2 linked regions of the Astyanax mexicanus genome follow. Each later gene encodes a partner of the first gene's protein in a complex. Links are inferred from orthologs where the notes say so. Each region holds a gene or a part of one and is shown on either strand. Other genes may lie near its edges. The genes, in order: tonsl and mms22l.

Region 1 (10,746 bases):
AGTGAACCTTCACTACCTCTGTTTAACCCTTGTGTGGTGTTCATATTTTTGTTACCCGTTTACTTTGTTACTTGTATTCAATTCAGCAAAATTAAGCAATTTTACATTAAAATGCTTTACACATGCTTGCTTCACATAAATTGCAAGCAATATAAACAGCTTATATGGTTAATATTTGCCCTTTACCTTTCTTGTGTTACATTTCTTTTAAAAAGTGCTACTCTTTTTTTAATAAGTTTTTTAATGAAATGTAAAAGAAAATGAATTAAACTCAAGATATGAGTAGAAAATTTGTTTAGTTTCAAATTTACAAATGAAGCAATGTTTATTAGCCCTTGGCCAAACATACTGTATGTAATATAAATGTGTGGGGGGAGGGGGGGTGTACAGTGTGTGTTTATCGAAAATGTGTTTTGATATATGCTTTTCACAAAAAATGAGCCAATGCCAATGAGTTTGAGTTAGAAAAAATATATTTTTTTGTATCATTTGATGAAAAATGAAAACGTGTCCCACAGACCCGAACACCACACAAGGGTTAAGCCATGAACCACATGCTGCAGACAATTAAAGGCTGCAAGGAGGAGAGTCTCACTCTGAGATGTAGATGCTCTGACGAATAAATTCATTGCAGCGCTGTGGGTCCTTCAAACCATCGCACACAAAGCCCAGATTCAGCAGCAGCCGTGCTCTCATCTCACTCCGTTCCCGAGCCGAGACTCTCCCTGAGACACATATACATATACAAGATGTACGCATCAGCCCCAAACACTGCAAAAAAACACAGTAATAGCCAGTAATATCAAATTTTATAATTAAATCTTATCAATATCAAAAGGTATTTAAAGAATGAACTGATATTACACTATATGTTATGACATTTTCTGAATGTTCAGAGTACAAATGTTAATGATGCTGGTTTACTATGCAAACAATTGTGATCTTTTACTGCTAGGCCTCTAAATGCACTGACATCTAAACTCTGCAGCTGTGGTGATCAGAATTTCTCCATGCTCGCACACAATAATACTGTTGGGTTGATTCTCCTCATCTGTTCTGTCTGCGTGTTGAATGTTTCTATATTCTTTGTACTTTGTATCTTGTATGTGATATGGTCTTCAACCAACCAAAACGGGCACATGTCACTCCGCTGCTCATTGAGCTCCACTGGCTACTGGCTACACTGGCTAAATTCAAAGCTCTTACAATCGCCTACAAGGTGATGACAGTACAGGCTCCTTCCTACCTGCACTCGCTCCTGAAGGCTTACGCTACCTCCCGGCCGCTGCGCTCCTCCAATGAACGTCGCCTCGCTTTGCCAAACACTCACACAAAGCAATCCAGACTGTTCTCATACAGAGTTCCCCAATGGTGGAACAAACTACCTTCCACTACCAGATCAGGAGAATCTCTCGCTATCTTTAATAAACTCCTGAAGACAGAGCTCTTCAAAGAGCACTTAATCTCCTAACACCTCTAACAAACTAACTAATTCTAACCTCATCTCCTTCTTCCTCTTCTCTACTCCTCTATCCCATTATTTCCCTCTGACCTCCTTAAGGCCCTATCTATAGATGCTTTATTTTTAACTTCTATTATTTTTGTACTTAACCTCTTCTATTATTTGCACTTCAATATTGTAAGTCGCTTTGGACAAAAGCGTCTGCCAAATGTAATGTAATGTAATGTAATGTAATGTAATGGGTTGATTCTCCTCTGTAAATGTTATTTCTGTATTCTGTGTGTTTAAATGTTTCTTCTGTGTTCATTTTTTTCTATTCTGTGCGTTTAAATGTATCCAATGTTTCCTAAGTGTCTTTAGGTTTTAGAAAAGTGCTATTACATTTACATTAAGGGTATTTAGCAGATGCCCATATCCACAGTGAAAGTATCCGTAGCTAGTTTGTAGGGACTAGAATCAGAAAGATACATTGATCTTGGATAATAAACAAGATATATACAAGCTATATAAAAATAAAAGTATTAAAATTATCATTTTCATTCAGATAATTTACTGCATTTCCATTCTCCTACATTCCTTTTTTTTAATTTTTCTTATACATATAACCATGGTCCACTTAGGACTAGTTTCAAGGTCTACATTTCTTAAATGTATTTAAATCAACATTAACAGGTAAATACACCAGCTCAAAACATCAGCTGAGAAATGTCCTGGGAATTTATTCTAACTTTTTTAGTACTCAGACGCAACTCCCCACTACTGTGTACGTGTCACCTGCTGACTTATTTTCCACTAGAGTTCATTAGGAAACAAGAACACCACCTTCCAGATGTTCGTTCACTATAGCCAGACTCTTCTTGAAAGCATCCTCTGCTTGCTTCAGGCTGTCCAGTGATTGGTCAGTGTCATGGAGAAAGAGGTAAGTCCGGCCAATGGTGGCCAGAGCTCTCTGTTCCTCTACTGCATCATTTACAGAGCAAGCCAGATCCAAATGCCGTCTCTGATACTGCAAAAAAAGAAACAGGTGTCTAAACCATGGAAACCTTAAATGTCTCTTTAATGTGAAAAGCAACTAACTGCTCTTTTCTTACTTTGAGAGCAGTTGCGATATTGCCAAGCTCTGCGTAACATTCTCCAATCTTCCGATTGGCTACAGCACAACCAATCACATCATGTAAAACCTGTGACAGGGCCAGCTCCTGCCGATGCTCCTCAATAGCAGCCTGGTAATCACCTGACAACACACAAAAGGAGTGAACAGCAGATTCTCAGGGAAATTGACACTGTGAGGAATCATTTAACTAAACTTTATCCTGGGTTTCTTACCACTTTTGGCTAAGACTTCTCCGAGCTGATTGCAGAGGCTAGCTTCCTCCTTCAGATTACTGCTGCTCTGAGCTTTACTTTTGGCTTTCTGCAGTTCTGTGTAAACACAATAAGGACATTTTATTTTAATCTAAAATGTTGAGGAGGTTGTGGTCCAACCTGACGAGAACAACAGGAAGACACTGGAAATGTAGTTAGCTAGCTAGCAATTACTTACCTCTCTAAAACACCAGTAAAGTTAATTTATTTAATGCCATCGGTCACAATATTAAAACATATTTAAAACATTGTCAGTTATATGGCTCTAAAATTTTTACTTAATGATGAATCAGTGCATTCCCACCAAATTACATTTTCTGACAGTACGAAATTATATCATTTCGACCGAAATTAAGGAATATATCAAGAAATAAATTTTGGCCATATTGTCCAGCACTAATTTAGACAAATACCTACAGCGTTAAAAAAAAGAAAAAAAAAAAGAAAAGGTTTTAGGATATACTTTAAGTATGTGCTTTAATCATATATATCTGTTTTTTTTAGTTTTGTCATTTGTCATACAGTATGTCATCACTGTCACATGACTACTGCATATATGTTAGTGCATCTCAAAAAAATTGATCAATGAAAAGTTACTTTATTTCAGTAATTCAGTCAAAAATATGAAACTCATTATATAGACGTCTTACACACAGAGTGATCTATTTTAGGCGTTTATTTCTTTTATTATTAATGACTATGGCTTACAGCCAATGAAAACACAGACGTAAAAACGTAAAACATTAAGCATAAACAGAAAATATATATAACCGAGTTAGTTACTGTAACATTAATTATTCTGCATATATACCAAGTAACGTTATACCATTATAAACAATATACATTTTTAGAATTCTTTTTTGAGCTCTGTTCGAAAATAGTGATAACTAGCCTGGGGTTAGTAAACTATTTAACTTAATAACTCTATTATTCCACGGGTCACAACAACTGAGACCGACCATAAAACTCATTTTTCCACCTGTTTATTTAAGACTTTTTTAAAGTAGTAACCTTCATTTCAAAAGGTTGATAATGAGAGGTGATTTTAATATTTTCGTGTCTGGGATTAGATGGATCAAAATAACGTAACAGTTATCTGATTGCGAAAAATAAATGATACCCCAGCTAACGTTATATGCCTGTGTTAGAAAACAGTGAATACAATAAAACAGCTGTCATAGGGCTAGGCTATAATAACAATATTATTTTTATACGGTTAGCTAAATAGTTAGCCAGGCTAGCTGAATAAGTAAGTTAAATGAATGCTATTTACTAAGGAGCTAGACAACAGCAGGCAGGATAGCTTAAAGCTAGTTATAGTATAACTAGTTATATACAGTCTAATTAGCAGTTTTTATCTGATTAAGACAATAATCTACCTAGTTTAAATAGTATGAAACTTTACTCACGTCTGATCTCCTTCGCTGAACTCATTGTCCCTGGTTACGCAGCGGATATCTGCTAGTTCGCTAGCAGGAATCGCAAGTCAATAATACTGAAAAAAATCAGTGACAAAACAGAGCGGAAACAGGATCTCGCATATTAAATAAACACCACGATCCTCCACCGATCTCCAGACATGTACTAGTGTCAGTTCTGACAGCGATCCATCGCTCTAAAACTAAAACAATACTCAAAAAGTTACCGTCGCTCTTAGCTGGCTAACTAACTACACAAGCTACATCTCCTGTTCCCAATACCGCGCCAAGAGCTCTGCTGCCCGCTGATTGGCTACTGCAGCAGACCGGCAGTAAAAGATCAAGCTCCGCCTACTGAGGTCCACATTGTAAAGCCATATTGGTAAGGTCGTTTCAGCTCCTAATACTCACACAAACATTGAAGTCTGATTTTAAAGAAAAAGCATGTATTAATTTTACTATGGTTATTACTGTTACTGTTTTCCAATGCATAAGTAAAATGTAACATCTAATTGAAATATATTTAAAAAAATGTAAAAGAAAAGTGTCTTAAACAGAAAAGTCATATCATATCATATGAAGTAATGGTAAGAGGAGTAGTCAACAGATTCACAGACAAATTATATTTGTATTGGGTATTCGATTTATACTCAGACATCCCATATATATACCTAAACATGCCTTTTGCAATCATTTAGTCCCCCATTACAGTTATAACAAACTGTACAGCAAGCAAGATTTTTTACATTTTTTTTTATTATTATTTTACAAGACATGGATATACTTTAGAGTAGTAGAGCCATGATGCTTCTTCTTCACTGAATCCCATCCAGGAGGGGGAAAAAAACACTGCCCACCCACACTAAAAACTGATTGGCTGACTCACAGACTCTTTGTAGAATCCTCTTTGTCTTGCATGCACTTCATGAGTATGCACACAAGGGAAGAGACTTTCTCTCCCTTTGCCTTCCTTTCACACTTGCGTTTGGGAAAAAAAAGTCTCTGTCGCCTGCGTATGTGTTTTTGTTCACTCTTGGGCCACTCGTTGTAGATTTAAGGAGATTTTTTTCTGACTTGCGGGCATCAGGGAGCCGGTATTGATATGCAGTAGACTCCTGCAACTTCCGGGAGACTTGGGAAGTCTTTACTATGCTCAAAGCCATTTGTCATATCTGCTATGGACTAGCTCACAACAACACAAGTAAAATTAAATAAACCAAGACACAGAACTTTTAAAATAATGTCCATTTTTTTTAATAATCTTAACAAGTCAGCAAACACACTCATACAAAAACACTGCAAGCTGTACAAGCCTCTAAAGGAACTGTTTACCAGAATAATCAAATGTACTCAGTTCTTTCCATGATCAAAAATAACAAAAGTCCCCCAAACACAAATTGTATAAAAATGACTTTTCAGTGAATCCTTCCTTTAAACAGAGCATAACCCTGAACACTGCCTTAATATTGCACATATTTATTGTTTATTTATGTTTAAAGACTGTGAGCTTTTAGCTAAATCAACCAATGTGACCTTAGTTGTACACCACTAAATCGGTCAAGTGCCCTTTCTCTCACCCCACCAAAAACAAAAAACAGGTAGTTTTGTTGGTTTATTTGAAAATTTTAGAAAATATTTACTATACATTTTTTTAAATATAGAATATTTTGAACAAAATGTATTTTCTGTTGCTAATGGTTAAAAAAAAAAGTAATGTGTCACAATGTCTGGATGAAGATGTTGTGAGTGAGAGGACAAGGCACTGCTTGTTATGATATGTATTCACATTTTCAGGTTTGAATGAATAAGGCCCATTCCATAAGGCTCCTCGTTCTTTCAGCACGCAGCCTGAATGAGTTACAGGGAGGGTAGCACCAGTCAGTTCGGAAATTTGCACAAATGTACAATTCACATTGATGGTCCTGGTTCTTCGCTTTCTGCTGGTGGGGTGAGCTGATCCAGAAGTTCCAAATAGAGGGCAATCCGCTCGATCAGGGAGGTGTTCTTTTCCGCTCGCAAGAGTCGAGAATACACCTGCTTGTACACCTTCACCTGCTCCTCTTCTTTAGCACTGTTTAACACACATACACAAACAGATCAACCATGTATAAAGAGTTACACTATATTGCCGAAAGCATCCACTTGCCTAAATTGCATTTGGTGATGTAAGGATGGGATGGAGCTGCTCGGCCATGGAAACCCATTCCTCTACACTCTACTGATCTTGAGCTAGTCTGAAGCCTGAGGTCTGTAGTGATTGACTCTGCAGTAAGTTGGTGACCTCTACACACTAGAGCCTCAGCATCTGCTGACCCCACAAAGTCATTTTATGTTGACATAGCGAGCAACTTTCATTCCCAGTCACTTCCACTACGTTAGCACTGACAGTTGAGTGTGGAATATTTAGCAGTGAGGAAATCTATCACAGTGCCAGACTGGAATTCCCAGAGATCCTAATAGCGACACATTCTTTCACCAATGTTTGCAGACAAACCCTATTAATATGTCCTGTCTAATCACTTAATTAACAATTAATTTATTATGCCTTATTTTAAAGCATAACCTAATTTCCGGGCCATCTTAAAGTAAAGTCATGATCAGTACAGTGATGGCGGCACCCAGAGATTAGGTCATGCTACGGGTTGTGAACAGTGGTTTTTAATAAGCTTCTTGTGCACTTTTAAAGTTATTAATGCCTCATTTTAATGTCAGGGCTCTCCGGATTCTATCAATAAGGTGTGGAGCTACTTTGAGCTTGTAAAACGATGTAAAAAGTGATTTATCTGCAGGGGCAAAATATGCCCAATATCATTTATTCTAAAGCATGTTTGGAGACACTGCAAAAAATTACTGGATCTCAGAAAGATGAGGGAGAACAGATGTGGGTTATTCAACAAAGGTCAAATGTTCAGGTCAAAAGTCAATTTTACACCAGAGTACATAAATCTCATTTTCACCTGGGTTTCCGTTTACTTGTGGCACTGAGTTTGACCAGCTGCAGGAGCAGGAAGGAGAAACTGGGCTCAAAGACACCAATCAGCTTCAGCACCTCCTGTGTGTTCAGGCCTGAGGAGGCAGAGCTATCACACCCCGCACCGGCTTCATCAGGATTGTCTGTGTCTTCTATTGCGACTGCCTGCGAACATATTAATAATCATTAACCTTTCAAAACAGTAAGATAATAAGGTCTCATTTTTGGCATGCCTCTCTGTATACCTCTTTCTGCTCTTGCTCCTGTAGCTCCTTATGGATTAACCTGAAGGCATGGCGTGTTTCATTCATGATCTCTAAAGCACCTGTTAGGGTTTTTAATTTCACAGCACTACTACTCTGCCCTGAAAAACACAGAAATAGCAACATTAACACAAGTTTAAACACAAAAAGACAGACATTTGAATGTGCAAAAATACATCACACACATGCGCAATAAAGACTACCGACTACTGTGTGAGACTGACCTGCCATGGTAAACTCAGCAAAGGCTACTCTCTCAAGCAGCGTGCGAAGAAGCTCACATGGTGCGTCACTCAGACTGAGAAACAACCGGACAGCTTTGGAGTAATGGAGCTCTGCTAGAGACCTATGCTGCTTCCGTAAACTCTCATCACCCACCTGCAGAAGGCACAGAGTCGAGGTAAATGTGAGTGTCTGTACTGATATGCAAGGGCATATGACTATGGAAATGGAAACATGGAAATGAACAAGAGGATGTGTTTACCTGGTTACGGTAGCAGCTGTGGTACATGGAGGCAAGTCTGTGGTGAATGGTAGCTGCTCTGTACTGGTAGAGCGGCTGACGAGCAGACTCTGTCTGGAGGTCACAGTATCGCAGAGATTTCATCATGGCATCCGTCACTTCCCTTTCGATCTAAAGTGAAAAGTTAGAATGGAAAATCTTTTGTGAAAAGCTTGATTTAAATGTTATAAGTTTAACTAGCATTCATGGTTTAGTAATAGTATATTCCGATTACAGTAAGGTGGCCTAAGCCCAATACCATTTCCCACTTGGCCCTACCTAAGAAAATCACTAGCAAGATAGCAGCAAAGAAACCCACAAATTTGAGTATTTTCTTTGTTACGATATCACGATGTGTACAATAAATTTGATAACCACTATATTACCATAGTTTAATGTGTAGATTCAATGTTTTATGGCCATTTTCTTTATAACAGGCATAAAAAAACAGCTATTAGTTAGTCTAAGTAGCTTAGTAGCCACCTTAAATGGTTCAACAGTCGGAGGAGACTGCATAATTAAAGATGAAGAGGAAAATTACAATAAAATAATAGCTAATAAAAGCAGAAACAATAATTGCTACACAATCGGCCCTCTTTCTAAAGACATAGGATGCCCTAAATTTAACTAATTAACCAGCAACTAGGTTGTTTAACTTTAGCACATCACTGTTTTATATCTGTATAGGGTGCATGAATGGTTGTCCCAATTCTTATTGGAGAGGATTTCAACCCTTTCACATGTAACTCTGTTCCAAGGGGACGAGTTACACACTCAAAAACAAGGGGTAGGGGAGCAAAAGAGAAATGGGATTGTGCTTTAGTCTGTGTGTGCACAAGCGTGTGCACAAGCGTGTGCATTACCTGTTCTTGAGCTTTTCGGGATAGTGGAGCATAGTCCTGCAGTAATGTGGCCAGGGTGAAATACGTGGTGGAAAGCTCCCAGTTAACAGAGTCCCATACTGCTTCATGGCTCTCTCTGCTGCCCAGGCATTTCATGGCCCTCTGATAGTAATCTACAGCCTAAACACAGGTAGAAGGATATGATTATAGTACGCTAAATGAGATTTAAAAAAATAAAAAAATAAATAGTAATAATAATAATAATAATATTTTATGATTACATAAAAATATACTGTATTGATCTGTAAATGCACTGTGACTAATCAAACAATTTATACACAAGATAAGACAAATATGTTATATACATTTTACACTGCTCAGTTTAAAACTAATCAGTTTTACAACTGGTGCATAGTTAGTTTGTGCATGAGTACCTTGTTGTAATATAGAGCCTCTTCTGGAGAAAACTCTCCTCTGCTCTCCTCAGAGGTCATGGCGCAGTGGGCCTGGGCACAGATGCGCATCAGTCTGCCGATGTTACACAGCAGCAGAGCTTTATTCACAGAGTCAGAAATGGCCTCAAAGTTCTGCATACCCTTCTCAAAATACGAAAAGCTTTTCTTCCACAGTTCTTGCTCTGCTGCACAAACCGACCTCCGCACTGCAAGAGAGAGAGGAAAGGACAGAAAATAGAGTAAAATTTTAAATATACTACCACTGTGTGATCTGTAAATACAAGCTACCTGGGTTGAAATCTAGAAATCTAGAATCTAGCACTCACCCCCTTCTTTCTCTGTCTGCAAAGCTGCAGCCTGGTTCATGTAGAACACACCCATCTCATTGCGGATGTTGCCAAGCCGCTTCAGAACTTGTGCCTGCTGCTCCTGGCCCAGGTCCTTCAGAGCCTCAGAGGTCAAAAGGTCATGGGCAGCCTCATAACACTTACTACTGACAAACAGCTGGTACTCTGGGTCAGTGGCTAGATCAGTGGCCACGTTGAATGCTGGAGAAATAATACACACAGATCATTACAACAGTGGATAAAAGCAAAAAGACTAAACAACACTCTTATTTAGGAATTATGATAGAAATTTATTTGATACATAAAACATGACTGACACCAGTAAATGATGCAAGGAACTGTAAACGTTTGTCTGAAATTTAAATCGAAAAATATAAATCAATTTGGCTTTTGGATTTTAAGGTCATGTTTTTCATTCATTTTGGACCTGTTGTAACCATTGCATAAATAAAATCTTGAAAATTATCTTGCTTTTAAGCAAATTTACAAAACTACAATTTTAAATATTTATTAAACAATGAACATTTTCATATCCACCAGGCATATTAAAAACGTTTTTTTTACTACATAATTTAGGTCTCTGAATATTCAGTGCATCCTAAGATACTATAATACAATGTGCAGACAATGTGTACATTGTTAAAGATGGAATGCATTAGAGTTATAGCTGAGAGACCTTGGCAGGAGCTCTCCCGGTGCAGACAATGAAGGATCTCCTGGTCGTCTCTGGTCTGATAGCTGTACTCTTCCAGATAGGCAGCTCTGTTTGAGGCATTCTGCGCCAGCATTAGCTGTATGTCTCCACACAGAGACAAACACTGACTGTGGAACAACAAGACACGTGGGTACAGTCCACTGCATATAGCACAATATGCATCTACACAAAGCAAGAAAAAAAGAAAGAGAAAACACAACAACATTAGAATAAAAGATGTTAAAACGTTTTTTTCTGCATTTTTAGTTTTTGACATGGCTTTTTAAAAGTAATCAAAAATCAACTATATGCTGGTATTCATCAGTCTATTCTCTGTTGCTGAGGTCTTCTCACCATGACACTGCAGGGCCAGTTTGATGTACCGCAGGGCACGGCCATACTTCAACAGGTTGGTGGCAGCCTCGGC
Region 2 (10,341 bases), on another chromosome or scaffold:
GCCCGTGAGGTTGTTTGAACTATAATGAATTATAATGAAAGAAAGAAAAAAAAAAAAAAAACATTCCTCCTATTTCTTTTAGTTTCCACCCATTTTCGTTTTTTCCACAAAAAAATAACTGCGTTCAATGATTTTACTCTAAAAAAAATGCCTTTAAAGTGTGTCATAAAAAGAGCAGAAAACAGTTCTAAAGACTTAAAAGTGCTGCTTACCGAAATCATGAGAGCTGGACTGCACCAGAGTTTCCAGTCGGAACACTTTTTGTCTGAAATGACAGACAGACTGTGAAATTAGCAAATTAACTCAGTCAGCAGACAGTGTGGCCAAGCTCCAAATCCACAATCTGCACATGCTCACCTGAACAAGCCAAACAGAAGTTTAGTGGACTCCACCAGCGCTGTCTCAGTCACCCAGGAGAAGCCAAAAATATCTACAGTATCTGTTTCAAAGCACGCAGGAAACGGGTCCAACTTCAACAGCAACCTGCGGGAGAGCGGTAAAATTACGAGCTGCAGCAGACTGTCTGCACATGTGCCAAGACAACTAGTGTAATGATGAACATGATATTATTCACAACAATGACAAAAAAAGAGTTGGGCCTGACCCTCATACAAAATCCCAAATAAATGAAAAAAAGTTTTTAACATTAACTCTATATTTTAAATATTAAAGACTGGTCAACGTCATTTCATTTGTTAAAATACAGTACATCCATTCCTGCGTTTTTCACTTAAGGCAAGCAACAGTATGGGATCATCATTCTAGTTTCAGTTTGAAAATTCTCCACATTTACTATTGAGGCCAGACTAGGGCTGGGTATCAAAATTCAATACCAAAAAGGCACTGAGCAAAATGTCTCTGTACTTACAGTGCTGGCCAAAAGTATTGGCACCCCTGCAATTCTGTCAGATAATGCTCCATTTTTTTCCCAGAAAAGGATTGCAATTACAAATGTTTTGATATTAAAATGTTAATTTAATTTGTCTTCAATGGAAAACCACAAAAAGAATTGTCAAAAAGCCAAATTGGATATAATTCCACAGCAAACATAAAAAAGGGTAAGCAAAAAAAGTAGAGCTTTTTGGTAAACAGCACACGCAGAAACTAGGTGATCATTCAACCCGGTCATTCACATTGTTGACACACCGCCACTGTGATAAAACTCACTTGCTTTGTCTCTCGCCAACCCACGTGGACTCTCCCTCTCCGAGACATACACTCCATGTCCTACCATGGATCTAGCATGTCAGATCCTGGCTTTAGGACTTGTTTCTGATAACAGTCTGGATGGCCTCTTTCTTTCTCTGATCATTAGTGCTTAGATTTTTGTGGATACTGTTTTTATAACAAATCATGATTAATTTTTTACCACATTATTAGCCCTAAAATATACCTGCCCTGACTTTTTTGATAGGTGTTGCAAATAAAATAAAGCTGATTAGACAATACCTGAAATATCTTTGGTTTATACTGTCTGCAATCAGATTTAGTAAAATTTTACTAAAATTTTAGATTTAGTAAAAAAAAAACCTTTTTTTTTTATTTCGGTTGAGATCTTATATTTCCTAATATAATACTGCATTAATCCAGTTTGAATAATCTTAATATCTAGAATAAAGTTCTAATAGTATTACTATCCATGATAAAATATGCAGAAATAAAGGTGCTAGACCTCTTTAGAACTCCTCTGCTGACGTAGCCGTCAGAAGACAGAGCGTGTGTATCCTCTCTTCCTGCTTCGTACACACAGGTGAAGCAGGGCGGACGTGTGATCGGCTCACACACATCCTCCGGCATGAACGGGGAGATGGGTGGAGTGAGAGACGGACTGAAATCATCCTCCATCACACTGCTGACGCCAACTGTGGAAACAGACAAAACAAGCGTTACAGGACAGTAAGTTCATATACAGCTCTGGAAAAAATTAACAGCCCATTTCCGTTTCTGAATCAGTTTCTCTGATTTTGCTATTTATAGGTTTATGTTTGAGTAAAATGAACATTGTTGTTTTATTCTATAAACTACAGACAACATTTCTCCCAAATTCCAAATAAACATATATTGTCATTTAGAGCATTTATTTGCTTTCAGACCTCAAATAATGCAAAGAAAACAAGTTCACAATCATAAAGTGTTCAGAAATCAATATTTGGTTGAACAACCCTGTTTTTTAATCACAGTTTTCATGCATCTTGGCATGTTCTCCTCCACCAGTCTTACACACTGCTTTTGGATAACTTTATGCCACTCCTGGAGCAAAAATTCAAGCAGTTCAGCTTGGTTTGATGGATTGTGATCATCCATCTTCTTCTTGATTATATTCTTGAGGTTTTCAGTTTGGTAAAATAAAAGAAACTCATCATTAGTGGTCTCATTGTTTTCTAGAGCTGTAGATTCTCTTTTTGTAGAGAGAGTGGTGGTTAAAGGAACTAGGGTTGTGCTGATCCAATACTGATGACGATACATAAACTTTGCATTTACGTATCGATACAATCTGATAAATTGTATTGTGGAACAAAACTCCTTCAAAAGAGATGTGAAAGATTCATTGCCAGTTATCAGTAAAGCTTGATTGAAGTTGTTGCCGCCAAGAGTTGCACAAAGTTATTAGGTAATATATAGTATTTATATATAACTACTAAATGTGGAAGTAATAAGTCGGACAACGAGCGGAAACAAGGAGATAGTCATAATATTCAGACTTGACTTTGACATTTTCTTTGGGGACTTTTTTTTGCACTACAACTAGTGCTTAGATCGGGCCCAAAAAATCCAGCCCGACCTGGCCTGAGCCAGACCCGTCCCGCCCTGTAAACTGTTTTTGTGAGCCCGAGCCTGAATTAAACAAGACATTTTTTTAGTAAGTGGAGTGTTAAAACTGAGCTTTTCAAAAACATTTTCAGGCTGTTTGAATGAGCTAAATCTGTTCAGAATAATGTTAATTAACATTACAACACTGAAGAAGCATAGACCTATTATTTAAGAACAATGTTTATTAAGAACAGATCTCCCCGTCTACTCTAATATAATTAATAATGTCTATGAAAATAAAACTGGACAAACATTTTTTTATTTTTATTTTAAACATATAGCCTTAGTGCAAAACACATAAAACAGTAACAGTAACACATAACATTCTAACTTGTGCAACATTTGATTTAAAACTCAGTTTGATTTGTTACTTTGCTATATTGCAATTGTTATGCCATAGCTTTATATAAAATCAACATTGCATTTAAAAACACATCCCGACCCGACCAAACCCGAGGAGTGGTGGGAAATCTCGGCCCGACCCAGCCGGAGTTCAGGTCGGGCCTCGGGTCAGGCAGAGAATCTAAGCGAATACAGAGAATACAACCTGCATGTATGCCTCCACAATTTAAAGACACACTATTATAAATATATATATTTTTCCTGAAATCTTTTCAACTCCGTCAAACAGTGTATCGGGTATCTGGCAGTGTATTCATAACATCTGATTAAATCTGAACAATTACTAGATGTTTCTCTAGAACTAAGCATTTCACACCAAACTCACTCTAAAAGGCTTTGTTTTATAAACTATAAAAGTGATTCTCAACCTCGGTCCTGGAGCCTAAAGGACTGGATCATGAATGCGATAGCAGCTACTGAAGGCAACTGGAGTTAAATCAAATTCTGTAATAAGTGCACACACAAAAGGTCACGTAAGACTGAAGAAAAATGATTGGTGGATAGTGAAGGCATGCAGCCAATCAATTCTCATTTCACCTCATGTCACCTGTAGCTCGTGCCCATGCAGCTCAAACGTGCATTTGATTCTAAAACTGTTTGGCCACTTTATTAGAAACACTTACTGTATCTTGTGCTTCCACTCACTACTGGCCACTTAATTAGAAACACCCACTGTGTCTTGTGCTTCCACTCACTAGTGGCCACTTTATTAGAAACACCTAGAGTATCTCAAAGTCAAAGTCAAAGTGGTTTTTATTGTCATTTCAGCTATATACAGAGTACACAGTGAAACGAAACAACGTTCCTCCAAGGACCATGGTGCACATAAACACAGTGTAGACAGAACAATAGTGCAACAGTACAAAAGTGCAGACAGACAATACAACACAATACAGACAAAGAATAATAAATAACAAGACAGTGTGCAAATTTTGCAGTGTGCAAAAAAGACCAGGTGACCAGGTGAGGTAGTAATTACTCTATTACACAGTGTGCAATAGAGTGCTTCTACTCACTTCTGGCCATTTTATTATAAACACTTACTGTATCTTTTGCTTCTACTCACTAGTGGACACTTTATTAGAAACACCTATTGTATCTAGAGCTTCCACTCACTAGTGGACACTTTATTAGAAACACCTATTGTATCTAGTGCTTCCACTCACTGACGGCCACTTTATTAGAAACACCAACTGTATCCTGAGCTTCCACTCACTACTGGCCACTTTATTAGAAACACCTACTGTATCTTGTGCTTCCACTCACTAGTGGCCAGTTTTTTGGAAACACCTACTGTATCTTGTGCTTTTACTCCCTACCAGCCACTTTATTAGAAACACCTACTCTATCTAGTGCTTCCACTCACTAGCGGACACTTTATTAGAAACACCTAGTGTATCTTGTGATTCCACTCACTGATGGCCACATTATTAGAAACACCTACTGTATCTAGTGCTTCTACTCACTAGTGGACACTTTAATAGAAACACTTACTGCAGCTCGTGCATATTCTTAACGTTACTGTTAAACTGCGCGAGGCTGTATCGGTGTTGCTGACCGTCAGCATTAGTATTAACGTTACAGCCTAAAACCAAAATCCGTCTCTTAAACCTTCTCGCGACGTTACAGCCTCGCGCTTAAATGAGTGACAGCTCTTACTATCCAACATCAGCAAAACGATCCCCAATTAATCGACTATTATTTAAGTATTTATAGAGTAACGCGTTTAACTCACCGCTCCGCTTACAGCTGTTCACAATCCCGCGCTTACACTGAGCATGCGCACGACTGCAGAATCCTCCGACTCGCTTCTGTGATTGGTTCAAAGTTCTCCGAAGGGGTGAGACGTTAGGACTTGTGACCAATCACGGGGCTTTATTATAAACAAAACAAGAGCCTACAAAATAATAGTGCGGTCAAATGTACGGACTTTTATTTACATAGAATACAATGAGCCATAACGTTAGGAACACTGCCAGGTAAAGAGAATAAAACTATTTAAATATTCACATATCAGCCGCAACATTAAGACCACTGAATACTGATTTTTACAGTTGTATGAAAAAGTCTGGACACCCCTGATTATTTTCATGATTTTCCTTTATAAATCATTGGTTGTTCGGATCAGGAATTTCAGTTAAATATATCACATAGCAGACGAACACGAAATGAAAAATAGGATTTACAAAAAAAGGAAAATGACATAAATATTTAGTAGATCGTCCTTTGGCAGAAATAACAATAGAAATAACTTTAAACACTTGCTATAGCTTATAATGAGGGTCTGGCTTCTGGTTGAAGGTATTTTGGATCATTTTTCTTTACAAAACATCTCCAGTTCAGTCAGGTTTGATGTTTTCTGAGCACGCCCTTGTAAAAAAAAGTATACTTAAATTATGCTGAGGTCTGTACATAAGTTATGTTATTTCGGACTATACTATATTATTACTTGTTTGTAATTAAAATGATATAAATTTGCAGTATATTAGTCATTTGTAATGTTCACCATTTAATACAATTTAAGTATATTTGTGTGAAGTATATTAAGTATATTTGTGTGAAGTATATTAAGTATATTTGTGTGAAGTATATTAAGTATATTTGTGTGAAGTATATTAAGTATATTTGTGTGAAGTATTTAACATCCAAAATCATCAGCACGATTTTATTTTTTATAAGCAACACAAAAATTGGGAAAAAAAAGGTTTGCTAGCAAATTTCACTGAAGTACTTTTTTTAAATATTCATGTTTAATATTCATGTGTTAGAATGGCCCTGTCAAAATTCTGAACTAAATCCATTGAGCTTCTGTGGCAAGACAGGAAAATTTTAGTTCACAGAAGCTCTCCAAGGGATGAATACTAATTGATCCCCTAAACCTAATCACTGTTATGGCCATATTTAGCAGCACCAACTGCAATGAAGCGTTTGTGGTAACTTGCAATTAGTTTTTCACATCTCTGTGGAGGAATTTTGGTTCAATTCATCTTTACAGAATTGCTGTAATTCCTCCACATTGGAGGGTTTTTCTGCATGAACTGCCTTCTCAAGGTCATGTCACAGCATCTTAATAGGATAGCCATTCAGAGGTGGACTTGGATCATTGTCCTGCTGCAGAACCCAAGTTCATTTCAGATTAAGGTCACAAACAGATGGTCGGACATTCTTCTTGAGGACTTTTTGGCAGAGAGTGGGGTTCATGGTTCCATTTATCACAGCAAGTCTTCCAGGTCCTGAAGCAGAAAAACAGTCCCATACCTTCACACTACCACCACCATGTTTTACTGTAGGTATGATGTTTTATTTTCTAAATGTGGAGTTTCTTTTACGGCGGATGTAATAAGAAACACACTTTTAAAAAGTTAAACTTTTGTCTCATCGGCCCACAGAGTGTTGTTCCCAAAAGTCTTAGGGATCAGCAAAATGGCAAAATTGAGATGTTCTTTTTTTCAGCAGTGGTTTTCATCTTGGCACTCTGACATGCAGGCCATTTTTGCCCAGTCTCTTTCTCATAGTGGAGTCATGAAAGCTGATCTTAACTAAGGCATATGAGGCCTGCAGTTCTTTGGAAGTTGTTGTGGGGTCTTTTGTAACCTCTTGGATGAGTCGTCGCTGTGCTCTTGGGATAATGTTGGTCAGCGGCCACTCCTGGCAAGATTCAATACTGTTTAAGGTTTTCGATATTTGTGGATCTCTCTGTGGTTCTCTTGAGTCCAAAACTTTAAAAATGGCTTTAAAATATTTTCCAGGCTGATAGATCTCAATTACTTTATTTTTTTTGTTTGTTCCTGAATTTCTTTGAAGATTGGCATGCTGTCTAGCTTTTGTGTATATTTTGGTGTACTTCACTTTGTAAGGCAGGTCCTATTTACGTGATTTGTTGATTGAGAACAGGTGTGGCAGTAATCAGGACTGGGTGTGGCTAAAGAAATTGAACTTAAGTGTTATAAACCACAGTTAAGTTTTGTTTTCACTTTTGTGCCATAATTATAAAAACCTTAATTGAAGAACTGCATTTTGTGTTTACTTGTGTTGTGGTTGACCAATATTTAAATTTGTTTTGATGATCTGAAACTTTTAAGATATGCGAAAAACACAACAATGCAAAAAAAAAAAAAGAAATCATGAAGGAGGCTAATGCTTTTTCACACTACTGTATGTGCTATTTTTTTGTTGGTCTATTACTTAAAATCTTAAGAAAATACATTTAAGATTGCGCTTGTAAGGTGACAAAATGTAAAAAAAAAAGTTCAGGAGGTATAAATACTTTTGCAAGCTACTGAAAATTCTGTCAGGTGATTCTACATTCCCATTTTATGGCCAAATGCTCTTTTTAGTCAGTGTAGAGTAGTAGAGAGTCAGTACTGTAAAAAGTGCACTTTAAAAATGACCTGCTCTGCGACCTCCGAGGATAATAGGAACGCATATAATGACCTTTCTTTAAAAAAGTGACATGCGGTTAATACTGTACAATGAGGGGACATAATGAGTCGTATTTTACTCGTTATTGCTCTCCCCCAAAACGGTCCGGCCATTGTGCTGCAAATCGGGCCAGGGCTGCTTTATCTGGGCCTCGGGGGGGCTTCTGTTTGATCAATTAAATTGGAGAAAGGCCTCTTCAAACCTGCGGCCCTTCCAACTCTCAGCCCGGGAGAAATGGAAAGTTATCAGTCTTCCCGAGCGATACGGTGGACAGGAATAAGTGGTTTGTCTATAAAAATGTCCAGGTGCTTTATCAGCGTCCCTCTAGGGCCTCTGGACCCAGAGCATGACGTTCGGCTTGTGGTAAAAATCATTCCTTCTTATTTCTCTCTTTCTGTCCTCTCCCTGCCCCAGGCCTGGTGGCTTAGCAGTGCACATGCTGCTTCAGTTAAGATGAACATCTCTTTCTCTCTTTTTCTACACTGCGCCTGTAGGAGCAGTCCAGCACGGCGCTAATCCTTTACTTCATTGCTGTCTGTATGGTTTTCTCTTATTCCAAACACAGTGAAAGTGCTAAACTACTGGTATACATACATGCCTCATCCACATGCATGTTTAAACAATTACAGGTGTGGTATTCAAGGTAGAAGACATTGGGTCTTGCCACAAGAGGGTGTAAAAATGTACTTCCCTTGCTGCCGCAAAAAAGGCTCTGAGAGGCTACTTGTTTGGGTAGTGTACCTCTTGGTGAGAGATTGTTGACTGCTAGATATGTATGTATGATGCACTTTAAACATTTTACAAGTTGAAAGACTTTGAGAGGGGGCGCATTATTGGACTAAAACAAGCAGCATTATCATTTCAATGAATTGCCTCTATTTAGGCAGATGAGAAATCTGTACTGCTGTGAACTAGAACTAGAACGGTTTTGTTAGATCTTCTTCAGATCCAACAATAGTCAGGTTTGAGTATGGAGGTCTCCTGGTGAGCGCTTTAGTCCTGTAAGCAATTTACTGTGGAGCAACACACTGCCCCAAAACTGCTGGTGTGATGAAAAGTTGTTCAACCCTAGTAGTGATACAAGAGTTACTAGCAGTTCAACAATATGTTTCTCATGGCAGGGCCTCCAACAGGCATTTTTCAGTAGGATAATATTTGTCCACACAAAAAAATAGTTTCCTAGGTATGTCTCTGCAAGATTGCAACATTTCTTTGGCCTATTTTAGAAAACTGTTGAAATGTAGTATTTTCTCTGCAATGAGCAACAATTTAACTATCAGGGTCGTGTTGGTGGCTGGACTCTATCCCAGCCGGCATTGGGTGAAAGGCAGTATACACCCTGGACAGGCCACCAATCCACTGCAGTGACTAGGAAAATCCACAATCAAAAGGATGGCCGAAAGCTCATAAAAGGCCCTTGGTTCCTATTAACCACCTCTACTAGTTAGCTCACCCAGTTAGGAGGCTGTGCTGTGAGAACCATAAGACCTGGATTCAAGCCCCTTTTTGGGTGAGCCCTTACAATTATGTGGTATGCAATTGGGACACAACCCAGACAATCATGTCATGAAATATTTTAAGTATTGGTAATGTTAACTCTGAGAGGCTACTCGTCAAAAGGATGGTGTCCTCTCGGTGAGAGATTGTTGACTGCTAGATATGCATTTATGATGCACTTTAAAGATATTTTACCAGTTGAAAGACATTGGGAGGGGGCGCATTATCGGATTAAACAAGAAATATGCTCGTTTTTATGAATTGGCTACTATCTAGGCCATATGTCAGCACCGCACCATCGCAAGCTGTACTGTTGTGAACTAGAACTAGAACTGTATAATCTTAAGATCCTATACAGAATTGTGGTTTTCAGTGATGGAAAAGTTGGGACATTACACCCAATCCTGATCACATAAAACAGCATGTGACACTTCCAGGAAGTAGATCACCTGAGTTCTAACCACATGATTTAGCCCTATAAAAAGGGGCTAATTTGCCCTCAGTTGATCTTACATTTTTTGTCTTATACTTATACTTTACAACCCTGGTTTATACTTTATACTTTAACTATTCTTTGATTTACATCTGCACGTGTCTAGACATTATTAATGTTGATATTTCATACTTCATTTATATTACATCACACAACAGGACAGGTAAACATTTTTTTTGTATGTACCTTACAATAAAAAAATAAATGCTCTGTTTTGCATTACTAACAATGTTTTTGAAGGAAAATATTTCTTGGTAAATCAGGCATCATATATACAGTATTTTTGATATGGCTCAGCAAAAAGTGTGTATCTGTGTATCTGAGGTAGAATTAACAGTCTAATGGATATTATCCTCTAGAGCAGAGTGTATAGCGCTCTGTGTGTGTGTATGAGTGTGTGTGGATACAGGGTTTAGATAAATGTGCCATTTGCATGCTGATAGCAGCGTACAGTAGGAAAGTGGCGAGTCTCTGGGTTGGAGGTTATTTGCATGGCAGTGTGGCAGTGTGTGTGTGTGTGTGTATGGGTGTATGAGGGTGTGTGTAGGAGGAGGAGGAGAGCTGCTGCTGGAGAGTGAAGGCTCCGGGGGATGGACGTGTTCTGCTGGACCGGTAATGTGTGTGATTACACATATCTAAGAGCTAAATGCACATTAAACTGCTTCGAGTGTCTGAGCAGAGCGCTGAGTTCAGTAACTGTTAGGACATTATTTCTT

Evidence for each region.
Region 2: tonsl (region 1) and mms22l share a complex: the UniProt entries of both Homo sapiens proteins name them as parts of the MMS22L-TONSL complex. The link is inferred for Astyanax mexicanus from reciprocal best matches to the Homo sapiens genes TONSL and MMS22L.

What each region holds. Positions count from the first base shown.
Region 1 is NC_064421.1:19,731,719-19,742,464, forward strand, and holds the start of tonsl (tonsoku-like protein), read right to left. Parts: upstream 4,538-10,746; 5' UTR 4,262-4,537; coding exon 4,237-4,261; intron 2,885-4,236; coding exon 2,789-2,884; intron 2,697-2,788; coding exon 2,554-2,696; intron 2,469-2,553; coding exon 2,285-2,468; intron 726-2,284; coding exon 596-725; intron 1-595. Other genes in the region: edrf1 (erythroid differentiation-related factor 1), read right to left, coding at 6,154-6,316, 7,203-7,381, 7,462-7,580, 7,704-7,857, 7,964-8,113, 8,845-9,003, 9,258-9,484, 9,605-9,826 and 2 more. UniProt on the Homo sapiens protein: Component of the MMS22L-TONSL complex, a complex that promotes homologous recombination-mediated repair of double-strand breaks (DSBs) at stalled or collapsed replication forks.
Region 2 is NC_064411.1:31,625,883-31,636,223, reverse strand, and holds the start of mms22l (protein MMS22-like), read right to left. Parts: upstream 5,042-10,341; 5' UTR 4,949-5,041; intron 1,863-4,948; 5' UTR 1,846-1,862; coding exon 1,673-1,845; intron 484-1,672; coding exon 358-483; intron 266-357; coding exon 213-265; intron 1-212. UniProt on the Homo sapiens protein: Component of the MMS22L-TONSL complex, a complex that promotes homologous recombination-mediated repair of double-strand breaks (DSBs) at stalled or collapsed replication forks.